2 linked regions of the Rhinolophus ferrumequinum genome follow. The protein of the gene in region 1 interacts with the protein of each later gene in a biochemical or structural test. Links are inferred from orthologs where the notes say so. Each region holds a gene or a part of one and is shown on either strand. Other genes may lie near its edges. The genes, in order: DAPK3 and PAWR.

Region 1 (9,802 bases):
AGGCCTTCCCGCAGTGCGTGTTTGACCACTGGCAGATCCTGCCTGGAGACCCTTTCGACAGCACCAGTCGCCCCAGCCAGGTGGTGGCTGAGACGCGCAAGCGCAAAGGCCTGAAGGAAGGCATCCCTGCCCTGGACAACTTCCTGGACAAATTGTAGACTGCCCTTCCTGCAGCCTGCCACCCGGGCACAGCCCCTCACCAGCCCACGATCGACCACAACAGCAAGCCCACACATTCTCATGACACCTCGAGACTGTCCAGACCTAGTGCCGCGCTCCCGGCAGGTTCTGGGGCCACTCCGTGCCATCGCTCAACATGACCACTTGATGCCGTCTCTTTCGATATTTATTTCAAGATTTCAGAGGCAACAGATATGCCCTAGCCGCAGGGACTTATTTGGCTGGTGGGGAGGCGGGATGGGAAACCCAACACTTTTTTTTTTCCATTTCAGAGGGAAATTCATGTCAAAAAATTCTAAGTAAATGCATTAAGAGGTTTATTTGGGTAAAATGGCCCCTAGTGGATTTTCCCCCGGAAAGGGGGAGGGAACAAGCGGTAGACATTTCTCTTCGGACAGAAGCTAGAAGGCAGGAAATAATTGTGCAGTGTCACCATGAGCACCTCCAGCTGTATTAGTGCCATTGGAATAATAAATTTGATTATGGTGGTGACCGTGTGTGTCCACGCAACTTCCTCTTCAGTCCACTCAGGCTGGGGTGGGTTTGCCCCATGCCAGCACACATGGCATCTGTGACACTGCGATACAGAAAACTCTGTAACCTCGAATTGTCATTTCAAATGTCAGGCCTGGGCTCAGACACATGATCCAAGGCGGTTGAACAGCCCTTCCGTCCAATGGAACGTATTGTAATGGAACTGTCCTACCCAAGTGCTGTGGAGAGGGTCAGCCACTGGCTGGCTACAAGAGCACGGGAAATAAGACCTGCGAAGCCAAGGAACTGAATCTTTTGACTCTAAATTTCCGTAGTCTCATGGCGCTGGGGATGCCTTATTGGTCAGCACAGGCTTGGGCAACTAAATTGTCCCTGCTCTCAAAGTTCACGGTACAATGAGGGCAAACCACAAATAAACACGCACCATACACGTTCTCTTGCCCAACCAGATTGGTTGAGAAATTCTAGACCAAGTAATGTGGGACCAAGATCTTTTTTTTCATCTTTGATAAGCATCACAAATGCATCCCTGAGACAGCTGAAACAAGGACAGTGCCCCTTGGGGGCCATTTTGAATTCTCAAACAGGAGAGTCCCCATTGGCATTGAGAAAGTAGGAACAGGATGGCCGGTTAGTTCAGTTGGTTAGAGCACGGTTCTCTAACAAGGTTGTCGGTTCAATCCCCACCTGGGCCAATGGCCTGCACTCCACAATTACACTGGAACAACTAGAGTTGGAGCAGATGGGTCCTGGAAAAACAAGTGAAAACGAGTGGTTGGATGTCCCAAATATGTGGAATCCCTGCCCATCCAAGAATTGTCCTGTGCAGTCTGTCCAGACCCCTAGCACCCAGATGTTTTGTGTTGGTAATTTTTTGTCATCTGTGATGTTTGACACTTATAAAACACTATAATTTCATGCAGAAAAGTTGCAAAGATGTTACAAAGATGTTAACATCCTACGTAACCACTATGTCAAACCTCAGAAACACTTAACATGACTGTTAGCAGTTTATTTGGTTTTCCACTAATGTCGTTTTCTCTCAGGATCCAATCCAGGATACCACATTGCATTTCATTTTGCACATTTTATAAAATTAGTTTCAGGTGCACAAAGCGATGTAATAGTTGGACATTTACACCCCTCACAAAGTGATAACCCACCTCCCCCAATCTACTACCCCTCTGACATCGTATAGAGCTGTTACACAATTCCATTGACTATTCCCTACTCTACTCCACATCGTGTGACCTGGTACATATGTTAAATTATAGTTGACATTCATTGTTACTCAGCTTCAGCTTCGGGTGTACAGTGCAGTGGTCAGGCATCTATACTGTCCCTGAACTGGTCTCCCTAGTAAGACAAGTGTCCATCAAATACCCTATAGAATCTTTACGTGATTGATTATATTCCCCAAACTGTCTTTCGGTTGTCTGTAGCAATCTTGTGGTTACCGATTGTGCTTTCTAATCCCCTCACCTTCCTCACCCCACCCCCTCCCATCTAGCAACCCTCAGTTTTTCCCTATATCTGTGAGACTGTTTCTGATTGGTTTGCTCATTTATTCTATTCTTCAGATTCCACATATAAGTGAGATCATAAGGTATTTGTCTTTCTCCGTCTGATTTATTTCACTCAGCTTAAAGTTCTCTAGGTCCATCCATATCGTTGCAAAAAGTAAGATTTCATTTTTTAGGCCGAGTAGAATTTTGCACAATTTTAATACCAACTAATTGCGCCAGGGAAGAGTATATAAACTGAGAAAATTGAACTGCATTTGGTTTAATTTCAAGAATTTTTCACCAATTCTAAATTAACTGGTGGCAGTGCCACTTGTGTGTGCTTTTATAGTTGTCACATTCACAGTGATTGCGTTTATAGGGGCTGACTGCTACCGTCAGTCCTTAAGGTCACGAGACTTGAACATTATTAGTATGTTACAAGTGTGTGTATATTTGTACGTGTGTATTGCTCTCTACTTACATTTGTTGTCTTTTGATTTTAGTTATTTTTCTCAGTTGTTTTGGTGTCCGGACCGCTGTACACTCTCAAACACTGAGGGTCCCAGAGTTTAAATGGGTATATCTACTGACATATACCGTATTTAAAAATTAAAATTAAGAAATTTAAAAAAGTTACTGATTTTAAAATAGCAATAAACTCATTACATTTTAACATAAATAACCTATTTTTAGGGGAAAAGTTCTCTGTTTTTCAAAACAAAACATGAGAGTGGGATTATTCTACATTTTTGCAAGTCTGCAGTCTTTGGCGTAATAGAAGACAGCTGGAGTCTCATGTTTGCTTCTGTATTAAATGTTTCAATACGTTGTTTTGGTTGAATTATAGGGAGAGAACCTACCCTCACTCATCCCAAACTTGGAAAAGAGAGAAGCATTTTAATACCTTTTTTCAGATAATTGTGGATATTCTTTGATACAAAACCAAAACTCAACAAGTGGTGTTTTTGTTTTTTTTTAATTTTTTCCTCCTTTCTTCCACTTCCCCCTCACACTCCGGTTCAAGCCGTTGTCTCTCAGTCTAGTTGTGTAGGACACACCCTGGCCCATGCTGGTATTATGAGCCTCAGCTGGTGGCCGCTGGGCCATTTACAGCAGCTCTCGCCAGCTGCACACGGTCGCCCACGGCACCACTCAGCAGCTCACGCCAACCTCCAGGTTCTCATGGCAGCCTAGCTCCAGGAAGTGCTGTTGTTCACAATCTTAGCTGCAGAGGGCGCAGCTCACTGGCCCATGTGGGAATCGAACCAGCGACCTCGGCATTAGGAGCTGGGCACTCCAACCACCTGAACCACTGGTCTGGCCCCAAGTGTTGGTTTCTTAAATAGAAATTACAATGCATCTGAAACCACATTAATGAGCTTTTCGTACTGTTACATTAAAATCTATTGGTCTGTCTTGCACTTTGAATGGGTCTTTTCTCCAGGCACGATTTTATAACACCAAGTGGTGGTGGTTTCGCAATATTGGTAAACCAAGTTTGCAGCTATTTGAGATGTTGACATAGTTCATTAAACACTTGAAAAATCAAATTTGTCAATATCAATTTCATCAGGAAAGTGTGGAAGTATTGGGAAACTGTCAAGCAGTTTTTGAAAATTTAATTTTTTGCTTGAAATTTTGCCATTGGCAACCATTACTGTCAACTGTTATCCTTGAATTGACAGTTTCAATTTGTTCATTTTTGAGAAAATGCTTCTGTGAAAAAACACACAAGTCTGAATTATTATAGTTTGTCAGGTTTTTTTGGAAGTAAAAATGATGTTTCAACTTCTCATTAAGTGTGGGCTGCGCAGAAGTAATTCCAAAGCATACAGTATGGAAGGGGAGAGAAAAGTATAGTGGAGAAACCTATCAAACTAACCTAGAGCCAGGTGACAGGGTCAACATCAACAGTGATAAGTCATGTGGATCGTATGGACCCTGGATAGGATGTGATGAAAATGGCACTTTACTATGTAATACATTACCCATCACCCCAGTCAAACCATGAGAAAAACATCAGATACCTCAATTGAGGGAAATTCTATTAGGTTGGTACTAAAGTAATTGCGGTTTTTGCAATAATACAAAATACCTGACCAACCCTCAAAACTGCCAGTCACTAAAAACAGGAAAGAGAAAACTGTCATAGCCAAGAGGAGCCTAAGCTGTGATTACTAAATGTCATGTGGGATCCTGGATGGGATCCTGGGACAGAGAAAGGACCGGGAAACTCAGGAATCTGAACAAAAGTAGGGACTTTGGTTAATAAAAATGTATCACCGCTGATTTCTTCAATTGTAAGACATGTACTATACTAATGGAAGACATAACAATAGGGTGAAACTGGGTATGGAAGAAGGTGCTGATTTAGCTGTGAACTGATGTGTGTATAGTTCTTAGACAGGACTGGAGGAAGGTGATCTCCAGGCAGAAGAAACAGCTCGTGCCAACACTTGGGTTAGGAATGAAATGTTTGAAGTCAGAAGGAAGGCACGTGGGTTTAAAGTAGAGTGAACAAGAGGAGAATGGCACGATGTTAGGGTGGTCAGCAAAAGCCAAAAGACAGTCTAGTGTCTGAGGTGGTTAAGCATTAATTTGGGTTCAGGCCTATCTGGGAATCAATCTCAGCTGTGTCATTTACTGGCTGTGTGATTTTGGGTGGGTTACTTAACCTCTCTGTGGCTCAGTTCCCCATCTGTAGAACGGGGGAAATAATATAATTTACCTCCTAAGGTTTTTTTGTTTTGTTTCGTCTCGAGACAGACAGGAATCATAGAAGGATCCTCAAGAGGGAAAGGCAACACCTAACTGAACTCCTCATGTGTATTTTTATTTACGGATTTGGAATGTGGGTAACATTTTACAGCTACTCGGGGACTAAAGCAGCCCAGGAGCTGCCATGCCGGAGCTGGACCTTGGATTCGTATATCTTGTGACTAAGAAAGGCAGGAAGAGGGATGCAGGACTTCGGCGTGCACCTTCCAGCTTCAGGACCCAGGTCAGAGAAGAGCGGGCGGGGCGACCCAGGGGCCGAAAGTCGATCTTCTGACTTCCGTAAGCTTGACCGGCTTCCATTATAGCCAATCAGCTTCATAAAGGCGAGCCTGTCGACCAATGGAAACGAGGCATCCGGGTGCGGAGGGCCGAACGCTAGCGGACCTGGGCCTGACAGGAAGCAGGGGAGGGGCGTCACGATCGACAGGGGCGCTGACCAATGGGTCTCCGCCTCCCAGAGGAAAGCACGGGCGGCCACGGTGACGTAGCCGCAGGTCAGCGCGTAGAGGCGGCCAGCGCGGCGGAGGGGCGGGCTGGGGCCGCGGGGCTGTGGAGGGTGAGGAGTGGGCTTTATTCGAGGCTGTTGAGTGTGTGTGTGTGTGTGTGTGTGTGTGTGTGTGTGTGTGAACCCTTGGGGGACCTGCGGCACGTTTGGGGGACTTCTGGGATGACCGAGCCGGAGAGGGGTCTGGGCCGGGGCCTGTGAGGGGCGTGGTGGCCTCTGGGGCACGTGAGCAGAGACGTTACCGGTTGGGGACCCTTGGAAGGGTTTATGAAGGGGGATTTCCGGGTCTGCCATGGAGTTTGAGGGAAGGTTGGGGGCGACGGGCAATGGAGGAGACTCTCAGATGTGGCTCTTTGCCGGGGACGCATTCGGAGTGAGGGAGCCGGAGGTGGGGGCCTTTACCTGGAGGGATGCCTTTGAGGAGAGGGAAGAGGGGTCTTGCTAGCACGGTGGAGTTCAAGGGTAGGCCAGAATGGGTAGGGAGCTTGCAGGAGCTTGGAAGCTATTGTCCAGTTCCTGGAGAATTCAGTATTGGGGGGAGCATACCGCTGAGGAGGGCCTTAAGGGACGGCTGAGGTGGGGGTATGTGGAGCGCATGGGTGAGGATGAAGAGGACTCGAGAGTGCTGATGGGCACGGAGATGGGAGTGTTGGGACTGGCACCGGGAAGTTGGGCAGGGAGTGAGGGAGTTCTGGGGCTCGGGAGTGTGAAGCGGGGGGAACTTGCAGGAATGTGTGGGGGCCCTGGATGAGTTGGTGGGAGAAGCCTAGGAGGGAAGAAGCAGAGAAAGGCTGGGGCAGTGTGTGAGGAACCAGAGGTATGTGCCTGGTGGGAGTTGGGGGGCAAGGTGGCACTTTCGGGCTAATGGCGGCCTTTTGGCCGGTTTAGTGTCTAAGTGAGATGACACACGAAAGTACCTGGCCTGCCAAATTCAAGTGTCCTTCCCAGGGAGCGTGGAACTTCAGCGTGGAGTGATGTGAAACCTATTTTTGGTGATCAGGTTGCTTCGTTTACTATGAGTAATGGCTGGCATCTCACTCCTTCCCCATTTCCCTGTCTCCTCCAGGATCACGGCTGGGGGACTCCCCGAGGTCCTGTCCCCAGGCTGCGGTGACTGGGCTTTCACTGGAGCAGAAGGTGCTGGAAGGCAGACCGACCACCATGTCCACATTCAGGCAGGAAGATGTGGAAGACCACTATGAGATGGGGGAGGAGCTGGGCAGGTGAGTGACCCCTTTGACAAGGCTCCAGGGTGGGAGAGGCACTGAGGGGTTTTCTGGATAGTTCTCCTCTCCTGTCCTCTATCCTACTCTCCTAAAAGGAATGAGTCAGGGTCATGTGCCGGTGAAACAAGTTTGGGCTTTGGAACCAGACAGCCTGGCCGAGAGTTCTTACTCTGACATCCTCTCTGCATTTTCCTTTGGGGAGAAACGTAATTGAGCACATATGGTATGACACAGTGCCTGGCATATGGCGTGAGAGCAGTAGGTGTTAGCAGCTTTTGTAGGTAAAGGTCTGTTCCTCTCTTAATCCTCTCTTAGGGGTGGTACTTGAGTCTTCCCAGGTCTTGACCTTTCCAGGGAAGGCCTCCGGTCTGGGCCCACAACCCTGCCAGTTGTGTAGCATTCTTGTGGGAGAGAGGGGAGGCTTTCTGTGCCAGCCAGGCAGCTGATTTCCTGCCTGGCCGGGCCTTATAGCCTCCCCTGGGAGCTGACTCCCCCGCCACCCCAGATCAGCTAGGCACTATCCCTTTTTGTTTTTGGTGGAGCCTCAAACCTTATTTGGTGAGTTTGCTGCTGGCTGGCCCCATGATGTCACCAGAAGGGAATGTAAATAACTGAGCCCTGCTTTCAGGCCTTTGCTGAGAGAGTGTTTCAGGCTCATTTGGGATTCTGAAGTCTCTCCTTTAGGAATTTCCCCTTTAGAGTGGTAGTGAATGCAGCACCCCTCACCCCAAATCTCATACTTTATTGTTGAAAATGTATTAGGATAGCCTGCTGAGGATAGTTTCGCAAAATTCAGCAAAATGTCGTATGTGTATTCCCTTTAACCCACAGGTTCCACTGCTAGGAATTAATTCAGTGTGAATACATACATACATGGACCCAATGACCTAGGAACAGGGAGAGTTGCTATAAAGATTTTATAAGAGCAGAAGATGGGAAGCATCTTCAGCGGCCATCACAGCACCCCTGCATCCATAGATGGAACATTATGCAGCCATTAAAAGAGCCAGGCACCTTGTGTAATGTGAGCCACAGAAGAAATTGATTGAAATTTAATTGAAAATTTAAAAGCTGTGTCAGTTTTAATAATTTTAATGATATATTTCATTTAACCTGATCAAACTATTATCATTTTGCTTTTTTATAAACTTTTATTTAAGTGTGTTTTTCCAGGACCCATCAGCTCCAAGTTAAGTAGGTGTTTCAGTCTAGTTGTGGAGGGCGCAGCTCACAGTGGCCCACTAACGGAGCTAACCAGCCGCCCCCGTGTCATTTTGTAATCATCATGTAATCAGTATAGCAATTATTAGTGAAATAATAATTCCGTTTTTTTATCATTCAACATTTTATATATAATAAATACAAACTTTTTATAGCCACTGGAAAGAAAGCACGTCTGCACCGAGACACTCCCTTCAAGCCTGACCCTGTGCACTGTGATGCTGCATTAAATGTCCTGGAGGGAGGGGTTCTTCTTAAAAAGGAGGCATATTTTTACAGCTTTGTTTTTTTGAAATAAAATTAGCAGCTCTTCCAAAAAATATTTTAAAAATATGACAAAAAATTTCAAATAACCCTCCAAAAATGTGGAAAAGCGAGATTCAGGACAATTTGGCTAGCGAAAGCGAAAATACAAGAGTGGGTGGCAAGGGGGCGGACGGGTAGCTCAGTTTGTTAGCGCGTGAGCTCTGGGCAACGGGACTGCTGATTTAATGCCCACATGGGCCAGCGAGCTGCGCCCTCCGCAACTAAAATGAAGTCAATGAACTGGCGCTGAGCTCCCGGGTGGCTCAGTTGGTTGGAGCATGGGCTCTCAACCACAAGGCTGCTGGTTCGACTCCCGCAAGGGATGGTGGGCTGCGCCCCCTGCAACAAACGGCGACTGGACCTGGAGCTGAGCTGCACCTTCCACAATTAAAACTGAAACAACAACTTGACTTGTATGGAGCTGATGAGTCTTGGGAAAAACACACTACTCTTCGTTCCCCAATAAAAAGTCTTGGAAAAACACACTGTTCCGCAATAAAGTCCTGTTCCCCTTCCCCAATAAAATCTTTAAAAAAAAAAGAAAAAAGAAAAAAACCCAAAAAAGAATAGAGAAAACAAAAGTAATGGTGACTATTAGAAATGTACAGGGGCCATTACTGCAGATGGATCAAGACCTGCTTAAAAGGGTGGCAAGAACTGCCTAATTTTATGCACTTTGAAGATTTTTTTTCTTTTTAACCTTTTTTTTTTTTTTTTTTAAATTTTAAGTGTGTTTTTTCAGGATCCATCAGCTCCAAGTCAAGTAGTTGTTTCAATCTAGTTATGGAGGGCGCAGTACACAGTGGCCCATGTGGGGATCGAACCGGCAACCTTGTTAAGAGTACACACTAACCAGCTGAACCATCCGGCTGCCCCTCGGCAGCTCAGTGGCAGCTCTGCTCAAGTTGTCCTCAGTCTAGCTGTGGAGGGTGCAGCTCAGCTCCAAGCCCAGTCGCCAGCCTCAATCTAGTTGCAGGGGGCGCCGCCCACCATCCCATGTGGGAATTGAATCGGCAACCTTGTTCAGAGCTTGCGCTCTAACCAACTGAGCCATCCGGCTGTCCCTAGCACCTCTTTTTGATATGAAGCCTTTGAAGTGTGGTGTGTATTGTTGGCTCACAGAACATCTCGATTTGGACGGGCTTGACAGTGCCTTGTGGCCAGTGGCTGCTACCTTGGCCAGCACTGCTCTGTGTGATGGTTGGGAACATTCTCAGAGATACATGAAGTGAAGGATTAATGGCATAGAACACTGCACACTGTGTTGTAACTTGTATAAATTGTAGATGTCGTTTGGACATCTGAATTCTAGGCTGTCTTTATGTTACTTCCGTTCATCTACCAAAGGACCTACGAGGCAGGTGCCATTATCCTCATTGTAGATAAAGAAACTGAGGCTGAGTAGAGGGCGGCGGCTTACCCAAGGCCACGCAGCCTGTCAGTGGCCAAGCAGGATTCAGATCTTGGGACCAAACCCTGCTGGCTCCAAAGCCCAGGCGTGCTGGAACCAGAGGTAGGTATTTGGCTTCCACCTGCCTGCCAGCCTGCTCTGCCCCCATATCCTGGTAACGGGCCCGTTAGATGTC
Region 2 (9,228 bases), on another chromosome or scaffold:
AGGCAACAGCATATACCTCTGAAAGACAGCAAAGGATGGGAGGGAAAACAGAAGGATTAGTTGAAAATCTGCATACGGAAAAGTTAGATGCTGCTCTTCAAGGCTCAGTAGCAAGGAGGCTGTCTCTCTTGATCTTGGCAGAGTGCTGGAAATTAATGCTCTGTATATATTGAATCACGAGTGTAATGAACTTGAGAACACCAGGCATACTGAGCATAGGGACTCAGTGAAATCCGTATGTTGAGTAGTGAGACTCCCCCAGCTCTTTTTCCCTACTTGGCTGAAACAGTTGACAAGTGGCAACACAGGCAGGAGCACAGTTTCTCTCAGGGAAATCGATCTGGCCAAGAGAAAAACGTCATAGATACTGACATTTGACCCATGCTTTCACAACATGCCTGGGTCCAAACAACACCCTCCTAAATGAGGACCGTCAATCAGTAAGCTCTGCCTTTTCACAGAGGAGCATCCAATCAGCTTTTAAGTGCTGCAGTCTTAAATATGAATGAACAACAGACTGATGAGGAAATCCTCTAACATGAAAGGTGAAGAATAAAACAATGAAAAAGAAAAAAAAAGGAATACATAGACAAGAGACAGTGAAAGACCAGCAGGAGAAAAGTTCAATTTCCGTAGGGAGAGAAAAGATGATGACACAAGAATAGGATACTATGGAGAAAAGCATTTAGAGAATGAGAAATCTTAGAAAACCATGGTGGCAAAACCAGAAAATTCAATAGAAAGATTGACATATAAGGTGGGGGAAATTTCACTGAAAGTAGAACAACATGCTAAAGAGATGGAAACAGGAGAAAAAATATTAAAAAAACTATTAGAGAGCTCTTAGAAGTCCAACATCTATTTAAGAGGATTCCAGAAACAGAGAACAGGAAAAATGGAAAGGAATAATTATCACAGCTATAGGCCAAGGACATTTTCCAATTGAAGGGCAGAAAGCAGAATGAAAGGGTCCACTGAGCCTAATATAATAATGAGAAAAGACCAAATCAGGGCAAATCTTCAAGATATTTTGGAAGATCTGGGTAAGAAGATCTAAAAACTTCCAGTGAGAAAATAAAAGGAATCAGAATGCCATTGCTTTTCTAAACATCAACTCTGGAAACCAGAAGACAATATAGTGATGTGTTCAAAGTTATGAAGGAAAATATCCAATCTAGTGTTCTATGTCCCAACAAACTATTAATCAAGTGCAGAGACAAATTAAAAACCTTTTCCAACCTGCAAAGTCTCCAAGAATGTGTAATCCTATCTCCAGAATATATTGAGCATGTACTCCACTAAAACGAGGGGGAAAAAACAAGAGGACAATAGGGGATTCAGGAAACAAGGGGTCTGCACAGGAAATGATTCCCAGGATGACAGGGAAGCATCATCCCAGGATAACCACGGAGCAACGTGCTTTAAAATCAATCCAGACTAGAGCAGAGGATGGAGGGCTCTAAGAGGAGATGTCTCCAAGGAAAACAGAAATAGAACTGATGGAGTACACCATGTGATTAACGTTGAGAGGTGAAAAAGTTTCAGTGTCAATTTGTGACTGGTATACAGAAAAATAAGCTAATGAGAAGGAAAACAACAACAACAACAAACACAAATTTTAACTGTGGAAAAAATAGTTGTGCAACAGAAAAAAGTTGTTAAAAAAATAAATCATAGTACACTGTATGGCTCAGCTATGAGCAATATTTGCATAGTCATAACAGTGTAAACATTTAATGTTCTTCAATAAAATCATGATATATAGTGGGCATTTAGGAGTAAGGAAAGTGTATATGTAGTTAGTGTAAGAGCGTTAAATATTCTTCTGTATTAGGAAGTCAGTAAAGGATGTCAAAAAATGGAAAAATCAAAAAGTAGAATAGCAGATAAGGACATTTAAAAAAATAAGTATGAAGATGTGTATTAGAAACATTAAAAAAATAAACATGAAGATCTATATTAGCAAAAACAGTTAAAAGAGTTCCAACTTCTGGAAAGGGTTTTGGGAGTGGAAAGGGTAGGTTGCAGTCTTTTGCTATAGTCCATGCAGAACTAAAGTATTTAACTTTTAAAACCATGTACGTGTCTTATTTTTGAGGGTGAATTGCATATACTCCAGAAGGCAAAATGGCTATTTCCCAATATCCTATTAATTATTTCAACACATACAAATAGGCTATTTCACATTACAGCTAATCTACTGCCTAGAAAACATTAAGATTTAACATTTAGAATAAATTTCAATCTGACATATTAAAATGAATCTCTCTGTTTTGTTAGCATCATACTTCCCTTTATTATTAAGAGCAAGTGAGTCACCAAAGTTAGTTATTTTAAGCTAGCTCAGAGCTTCTCAACTGGGGAAGATTTTGCCCCTCGGGGAACATCTGGCAGTCACAACCGGGATTGGGGGCAGATACTGGCATCTAATAAGTAAAAGCCAAGGATGATGCTAAATATCCTACAATGGACAGGACAACTCCCCGAACAAAGAATTAGTTTGTCCCAAATGTCAATAATGATGCAGCTGAGAAACAAGTTCCGAGTCTCTGATGATTATTTCATCAGAATGCTATACATCAAGATCGATGATATACAAACATTTTGCAATTTAGGATTGATTCAGCTAAATATCTTGATGCACTATTGGAAGTTGTCTGTCTGTGAACTATATCTTTGGGAATATTGAGAATGGTAAAGACAAAGGTATAATAAATGGTAACAATAATAATATATAGTGCTTTGTACATCAATAATCTCTTTCATCCATGGTTCCTAGGGCACTTTATAGACTAATAATAACTACTCCGGTACTCACATATTACCTTTTATCTAAGGACCTCAGGCACTTTCACAACACTCTCACAATGTAGGAAGTATTATTATTATCCCTATTTTATATGTAAGTAAACAGAGGCACAAAAGTTAAGCAACTTACTCAAAGCCACACTAGTCAGTAATAGCCAACATTCCTGACTCAGAGCCTATTAATACTGGTCTAAGAGATGCAGTGACAAATTTATGTGGCATAAGTGTTATTCTAGTTATTCAGCTTATTGTTTTCAAGTTCATTTGTGTGTGCAGTACCTTTGTTGCCTAATTCCACCCAACCCCCCACATCTTAGAGACCCAGGACTCTCTCTGCGTGATATCCCATTAATAAAAGGCACTGTATTTACTGAGTGCCTTCCTAGAACCAAGCTCAGTTAACACGCCTGCCATGTCAATTCTTATAACAGCTTAAAAATACTGGGGGTGCCCAAAAATGTATGAAAGTGGACACTTTGGTCAACGTTGCTCAAACAGCAGTTCGCCGTAATCAGAAGTGTCTGGACACTGATGGTAACCTCTCTGAGCACCTCTTGTAATTGCAGAAGTCAAACGTGACTTATATTCATCTTTTGTTATCGGTATATATTGAGTATTACAATTTTAATACACTTTTCCTTTCTTAAAATGTGTATACATTTTTTGGCACCCTCTGTATATGCTGTCGCTGCTGACTTTTATAGTAAAGAAAGCTGAGTTTCAGAGAATTTAAACATGCCCAAGACCTCTCAGCTACTTATAGTTGTATCCAGGCTGACTATATCCTCTTTCCACTGCATCCTGCAGCCCCTCCAAGCATATTCATATGAATCTGTTTAATGCCCAACCCTCCCTCTCCTCTCTTAAAACTCAGAAAACAAACTAATGAAGAATCTGTAATTGAGGAATTGCAAGTGGTGCACCCAGGTTGGTACCAGCTAGGCTCCGCATTTTAAACCCATCCCCAAGGAAGGCCTTTAATTTTCTAAGGATTTTTCCAGAGCTCTCTCCCGGTAACCCATATGTTCACCCCAACAGCGAGACCAAAGACCAGAACTGTATGACCTCCCCTCTGAGAAATAAATAGCAAGTGAATCACTTTTTCCTGTTCTCATTCCTGTCGCAGGCACACAATGACTGCCTACCCACCGCGAGCCACCTGGGTGAAACAGGAATACTAAATAGGAAGAGAGATTTACTGTTCGGTAAGAGTGTGACTCAGGGCTCGCCTACTTCTTCCAAAATGGTCCATTTGTACCCTATGACAGGGATGTTTCCCCGGCACTGCTTGTAGTAAGTCTCCTTAGGACCCTGTCACGGGCAGCCCACCCAGCCCTGATCCAGGAATCTTAGATGATTTGCATCTGAGGATAAGATTTACCCTACGGCGCCTTAAGGATGGAAACATAGAGGCTCCCACCGCCCCAGCTCCTAGCAAATCAGCATCAACGCAGCTTTAGTACTTTGGTAGGCAGCTTTGCTGCTAAATTCACTATCTGCAAAGAGGAGATGTAGAGACAGGGTTAAGAAGAAAATTCCAATAGAATTGAGATCCAATCCATTGTCGAAATGTTTTTAAGTTTTCTTCTATACGTATAATAGTAAACCCTTAACTGTCGACTTAAGCCCCTCCTTTTAGGTAACCCTTGCACTAGGATACCACAAACTTTTCTTAGTAAGGAGGGGGCTGGGTTTGTATCAGTTCTTTCTATTCTTTACCTGCCACCCTAGTACATCTGAGAAGGGGTTGGCGACGAGGCAGAGGGACGCGCGAGTGTTTTCCCATCCTGGCTAGTCAGGCCTGAATCATCCCAAGTTGATTGCATTTGCCCCCTCTGCCAGCAGCATTCGAGACTTTCCCTCGAAGAATCTGTCTTGTACTTAAAAGGAAGAGTGGTGGGAGAAGGGAGAGGCGGAGATGAGGAGCCGGGTGAAGGGCGTGGGGGGCCGTTCCCGCCCGGAGTCGGAGGCGCCAAGAGGCCGGACGCCGCGGGGCCGCGAGCCCAGGAATGCGCGGTCCGACCGGCGGGCTGGCCGCGGCGCCGTGCACCTGAGCGCCGGGGGCGGGGCGGGGCGGCGGCGGGCACGACCCCCCACCCATCGCGCGCCGCGCCCCTCCGCGCCGTCTCGGCCCTTTCCGCCCGCGCTTCGGCGCCGCTCGGCTCCCCTCCCGCCCCTCGCTCCCTCCCTCCTTCCCTCCCCCCCAGCCCGGTGCGCGGCGAGCTCGGGACGGCGAGTTGGCCGCAGCTCCTTCCGCGCGGCCGCTTCCGCTCACCTGGGCGCCCGCTCCCAGCCCAGCGTCCCGTCCCGCAAACCCCTCCCAGGTAAGGGGCTGCCCCGGCCGCCCCCGCACCCGTCCCTCCCCAAGTCCGCTGGATAGCTGGTGTCTACACGTCCCGCCGCCTCCGCGAGCTGCGGGGGCTCCGCGCCTCGCCGGGGAGTGGGGGTGTCGGTGGCGGGGACCCCGGGCCGGCAGTGCGCGGAGCGAGGTGCAGGAGATGCGACGGGCCGACTGGTGGCCGGGTCCGGCCCTGGTCCCCCGACCGCCGTAGGCGCGGACCCCGCTGGGGATGGGGCGGGGGCCGGGGGTGGGGACAGTCCCTTTCTCCTCCCCTCGAGGGGCGGTGATCGTCCCGTCCGCGGTGTAGGTGCGTCGGACAAACTTCGCAGGTTGGGGACTCGGCAGCCACTCGCCGGCGGGCACGAGTGGGCGCGCTCTGGGTGGGGGCTCCGAGCGGCGCGGCCGCGGGGAGACCCTCGGGCCGGGCGAGGACCTTACGCTTCGCTTCTCCGCCCCCTTTTGTGTTTCCCCTCAGACGGCCGGCCGCTCCCGCGGGGGTCGTTCTCTCACCCTCCGGGCCGCGGGCAGGAAGAGGCGGCGGCGGCCGGAGCCCGGGTGGGCGGCCTGAGGTGAGAGCCCGGCCGGCTCCGCTGGGAATATGGCGACCGGTGGCTACCGACCGGGCGGCGGCGGCAGCAGCAGCAGCAGCAGCACCACAGACTTCCTGGAGGAGTGGAAGGCGAAGCGCGAGAAGCTGCGCGCCAAGCAGAGCCCCCCGGGCCCGGCCGCCCCGGGAGGGGGCAGCAGCGACGCGGTCGGAAAGCCCCCGCCAGGGGCTCTCGGCACCTCGGCGGCCGCCGCGGCTAACGAGCTCAACAACAACCTCCCGGGAGGCGCGGCCGCACCTGCCGCCCCCGGGGGCGTGAACTGCGCGGTGGGACCCGCGGCGCTGACCCGGGCGGCCCCCGGCCCGCGGCGGCCTGAGGACGAGCCCCTCGCCGGCGCCGCCGCCGCCGCCTCGGGGACCCCGCCGGCCCGGGGCGACGAGGAGGAGCGGGACGGCGCCTCGGAGAAGGGCAAGAGCTCGGGCCCCAGTGCCAGGAAAGGCAAGGGGCAGATCGAGAAGAGGAAGCTGCGGGAGAAGCGGCGCTCTACCGGCGTGGTCAACATCCCCGCGGCGGAGGTGAGCCGGCGGGGGCCGCGGCCGGACCCGGGTGGGGGCGGGGGCTGCCGCCTGCTGGAACCTTCTTCCCGGGAGCTCCGGGCCTCCAGGGCCCAAGCGTTTCCCTGTTGTAGCTCGAATCGCTTATCCTTGCACCGAGTTAGGCAGGCAGAGGGTGATGGAGTTTTACTCTGAACAAATGCTTCCTGGGAAGTTCTCAAAACCCCAAGTAGGACACGTGCTTTTCAGGCTTCCTGGCTAACGTCTCAGACCCGGGATCCTTTTTTTCCCCCACTGTGGTGGAAAGACAATCCCTGGCCCCAGCACTTGCTCACCTAGGTTTGTTTTTCTATGCTTGATCAGTTAGAAAAATTGATTAATGGTGATGACGATATACTCTAGTTTTTCACGTGTCCGTCTCAAGTTATATTGTTTATCTCTTTTTCTCTCTTACCAGTGTTTAATATAGCACCTGTAAAGGAAACGTGGCCTTAGCATTTGTCTAAGACAGCTTTGTCTTTCAGTGAACCCAAGATGAGTACATCCAAATGAATATGTGCACTATTTCATATATAAACCAGCCTTTGTAAATAGCGCTCCCCAACACACACACACACACACACACACACACACACACACACACACACACACACACACACACACACACACACACACTTCTGAGTGCTATTTAGGACAATAGGAACGCCGTAGCAACCCACAATTCTTTTTACTAAGACGATCTCATGTTTAAGTATTTGGCTCTATGTATTCTGGAAAACATTTGTGGTAGGGTTGGATTTTTGTTTTGTTTTGGTATTTTTGAGCAGTCTCAAAATACTTCTGCAGGCAGCAGCATCTTCCTATTAGAGTGACTGGTGAAACATTTTACTGAGTGTGTAACTGCACCGCTGTCTACCCTAAATAAAACAACCCTAAACAAGTTTTGGTTACTTTCATGTAGCTCACCTTGTTTCACCTAAAGTAGTTGCATCTTTTTATCGTTGGCTTATATTTTACTTTTTTTTTTTTTAACTCCTGGCTTTCAATTTATTCAACTCTGACCCCAAGTAAATAATAAGAATTTATGAGCTTTAATTGTGGTTCAAGTAAACGCATTGGTAGTAAGTTAGGGTGTATATCAAACATACCCAAATTTTTAAGTCTTAATATGATTCCCATACCTGGAAAATCAGTTTGTCTTTGAAGGGTATATTTTTATATGAGTGTTTCAGAGAGGTTTTTATCAGCCAGCCAAACTATCCTCTGTGGTTTGCTACTTGCACAAAAGATCTGTTATTCATTAAATTGCTTTAAAAGGAATTCACAAGAGTGGTAATCAAATTTCTAGGGTTTTTTTTTTTTTTAAGTTAAAAATATGAAGATTAAGGGGAAACAAGACAAGGCTTTGGAAAATCTACATTCCTAAAGTTTATTTTCTAAAGTAGCTGATGGTCCAAATAAAAGAATTTGTCATTTTCAGTCTTTTCTTCATTATCCATCTGACAGTGGTCTTATTTTGGGAAATATCTTGGCAGATGTTAAACTTCATTATTTGGCTGCTTGTGCTAAAATTGTTATTTTTCAAATACCATTTTGTTTTTGTTTTTTTAACAAGGGTAATGTTTACTGGGGGAAATAAGTATGGTGTATCTTGTGAGATCCTAAAAAACATCCTTTGTTAATATTCCTACTTTGGGTAAGGGAACATAGTGCTGAGAATGTAGATGACTTCCCACTATAATTGAGTCTAATACTCTGGAATGTTTTTCGTTTGGGTGTTGGCAACTCCTAAATTTAATCTTCCTTAAAAACAAACAACCCAGGGTACCATTTTTTTGTCTGTGGAATTTGAACCTTTTTTATGGAACAGGGAATTGAGGAGTGCTTTTTTTTTTGTCGTAACTGTGGCTCTGTTTCATTCTGTAGGACTCAACAAAACATGGTAATGTTTTATCACAGTATCTAATTAGCAGACATACTTCTTGAGTTCCTCCTCCCCATATTTTCAGTTTGAAAACAACTCTCCCAAATTATTGTAGTAGTGGTAAAACATACGACTCAAAGCTTCAAACCATTCGCTATGAAGCATTTTTATATCTTTAGGTTGTTGCTTTTTTAGAATTGTGTGTCATTCATTTCTATTAGTAGTTTCAACATTGAGGATGCCAGTTGTTGTGGAGTTTCTCATGTAATATTACTTAGCACTCCTGTTTAAAAGTCATAATATTTTACAAAATTTTCATGTATGAAATTATTATAAAAGCAGAAAAAGCACCAATCTGTCATTATTCAGAAATAGACTTGTATTATATATAATGTTGACTGACACTCTTATTTTCAGACCATATTCCCAACCAAGTTTATATTAGATTAGCAAACATTTTGTATGCAAAAAGCTTATTTTAGTGGTTGATAAACAGTAAGTTCCTTCAAGAAGTATTAAACGTGTGTAACACATTGCATTAATTTATTTTACTAATCACAGAGTATTATAAAATTGTTGTAAAAGTACCTGACAGCAGCTAAAGATACCAAAACATCTAGAAGATAGTTTTAGGAAGGAAGCAGGTCAAAAACTGAAAGTGGTGGATGAGGGTAGAATACTGGGTGGATACTTCATGTTATGACTGTAATAAAAAGTACAAATATACAGATGCTCGTTATTGAGAAAAACTTTAGTTTTCATTTACTGTTAGAGTGTTTTTTGAAGTTGTTTTCTAAATCATTTTTTCTATGGGGGGGAGGTAATAGCCCAAATTGGATAATTTGGAAGTGACATACTGCCTTCCAGTAATTTTTGTATACATTTATTAGATTAGTCAAATGTTTATTACATGTTTGTGTTAAAGCTACTATCGTAAATACCGTGGAGAAAACAAGAAGAACAGGGAGCAAGACTAATCTAGGAAGAAAGCTAAGACATAATTACGTGAAAAAACTTAAGAACGGAGTTAGCAGCCTGCAAGCCATCTTACTG

Evidence for each region.
Region 2: of the proteins of DAPK3 (region 1) and PAWR, one has a biochemical effect on the other in vitro, tested with the Homo sapiens proteins (2 studies listed by BioGRID). The link is inferred for Rhinolophus ferrumequinum from reciprocal best matches to the Homo sapiens genes DAPK3 and PAWR.

Annotation. Positions count from the first base shown.
Region 1 is NC_046301.1:59,574,813-59,584,614, forward strand, and holds the start of DAPK3 (death-associated protein kinase 3), read left to right. Parts: upstream 1-5,440; 5' UTR 5,441-5,514; intron 5,515-5,645; exon of another isoform or gene 5,646-5,851; intron 5,852-6,529; 5' UTR 6,530-6,624; coding exon 6,625-6,686; intron 6,687-9,802. Other genes in the region: EEF2 (elongation factor 2), read left to right, coding at 1-158. UniProt on the Homo sapiens protein: Serine/threonine kinase which is involved in the regulation of apoptosis, autophagy, transcription, translation and actin cytoskeleton reorganization. Involved in the regulation of smooth muscle contraction.
Region 2 is NC_046293.1:73,411,638-73,420,865, reverse strand, and holds the start of PAWR (PRKC apoptosis WT1 regulator protein), read left to right. Parts: upstream 1-5,004; 5' UTR 5,005-5,132; intron 5,133-5,624; 5' UTR 5,625-5,747; coding exon 5,748-6,272; intron 6,273-9,228. UniProt on the Homo sapiens protein: Pro-apoptotic protein capable of selectively inducing apoptosis in cancer cells, sensitizing the cells to diverse apoptotic stimuli and causing regression of tumors in animal models.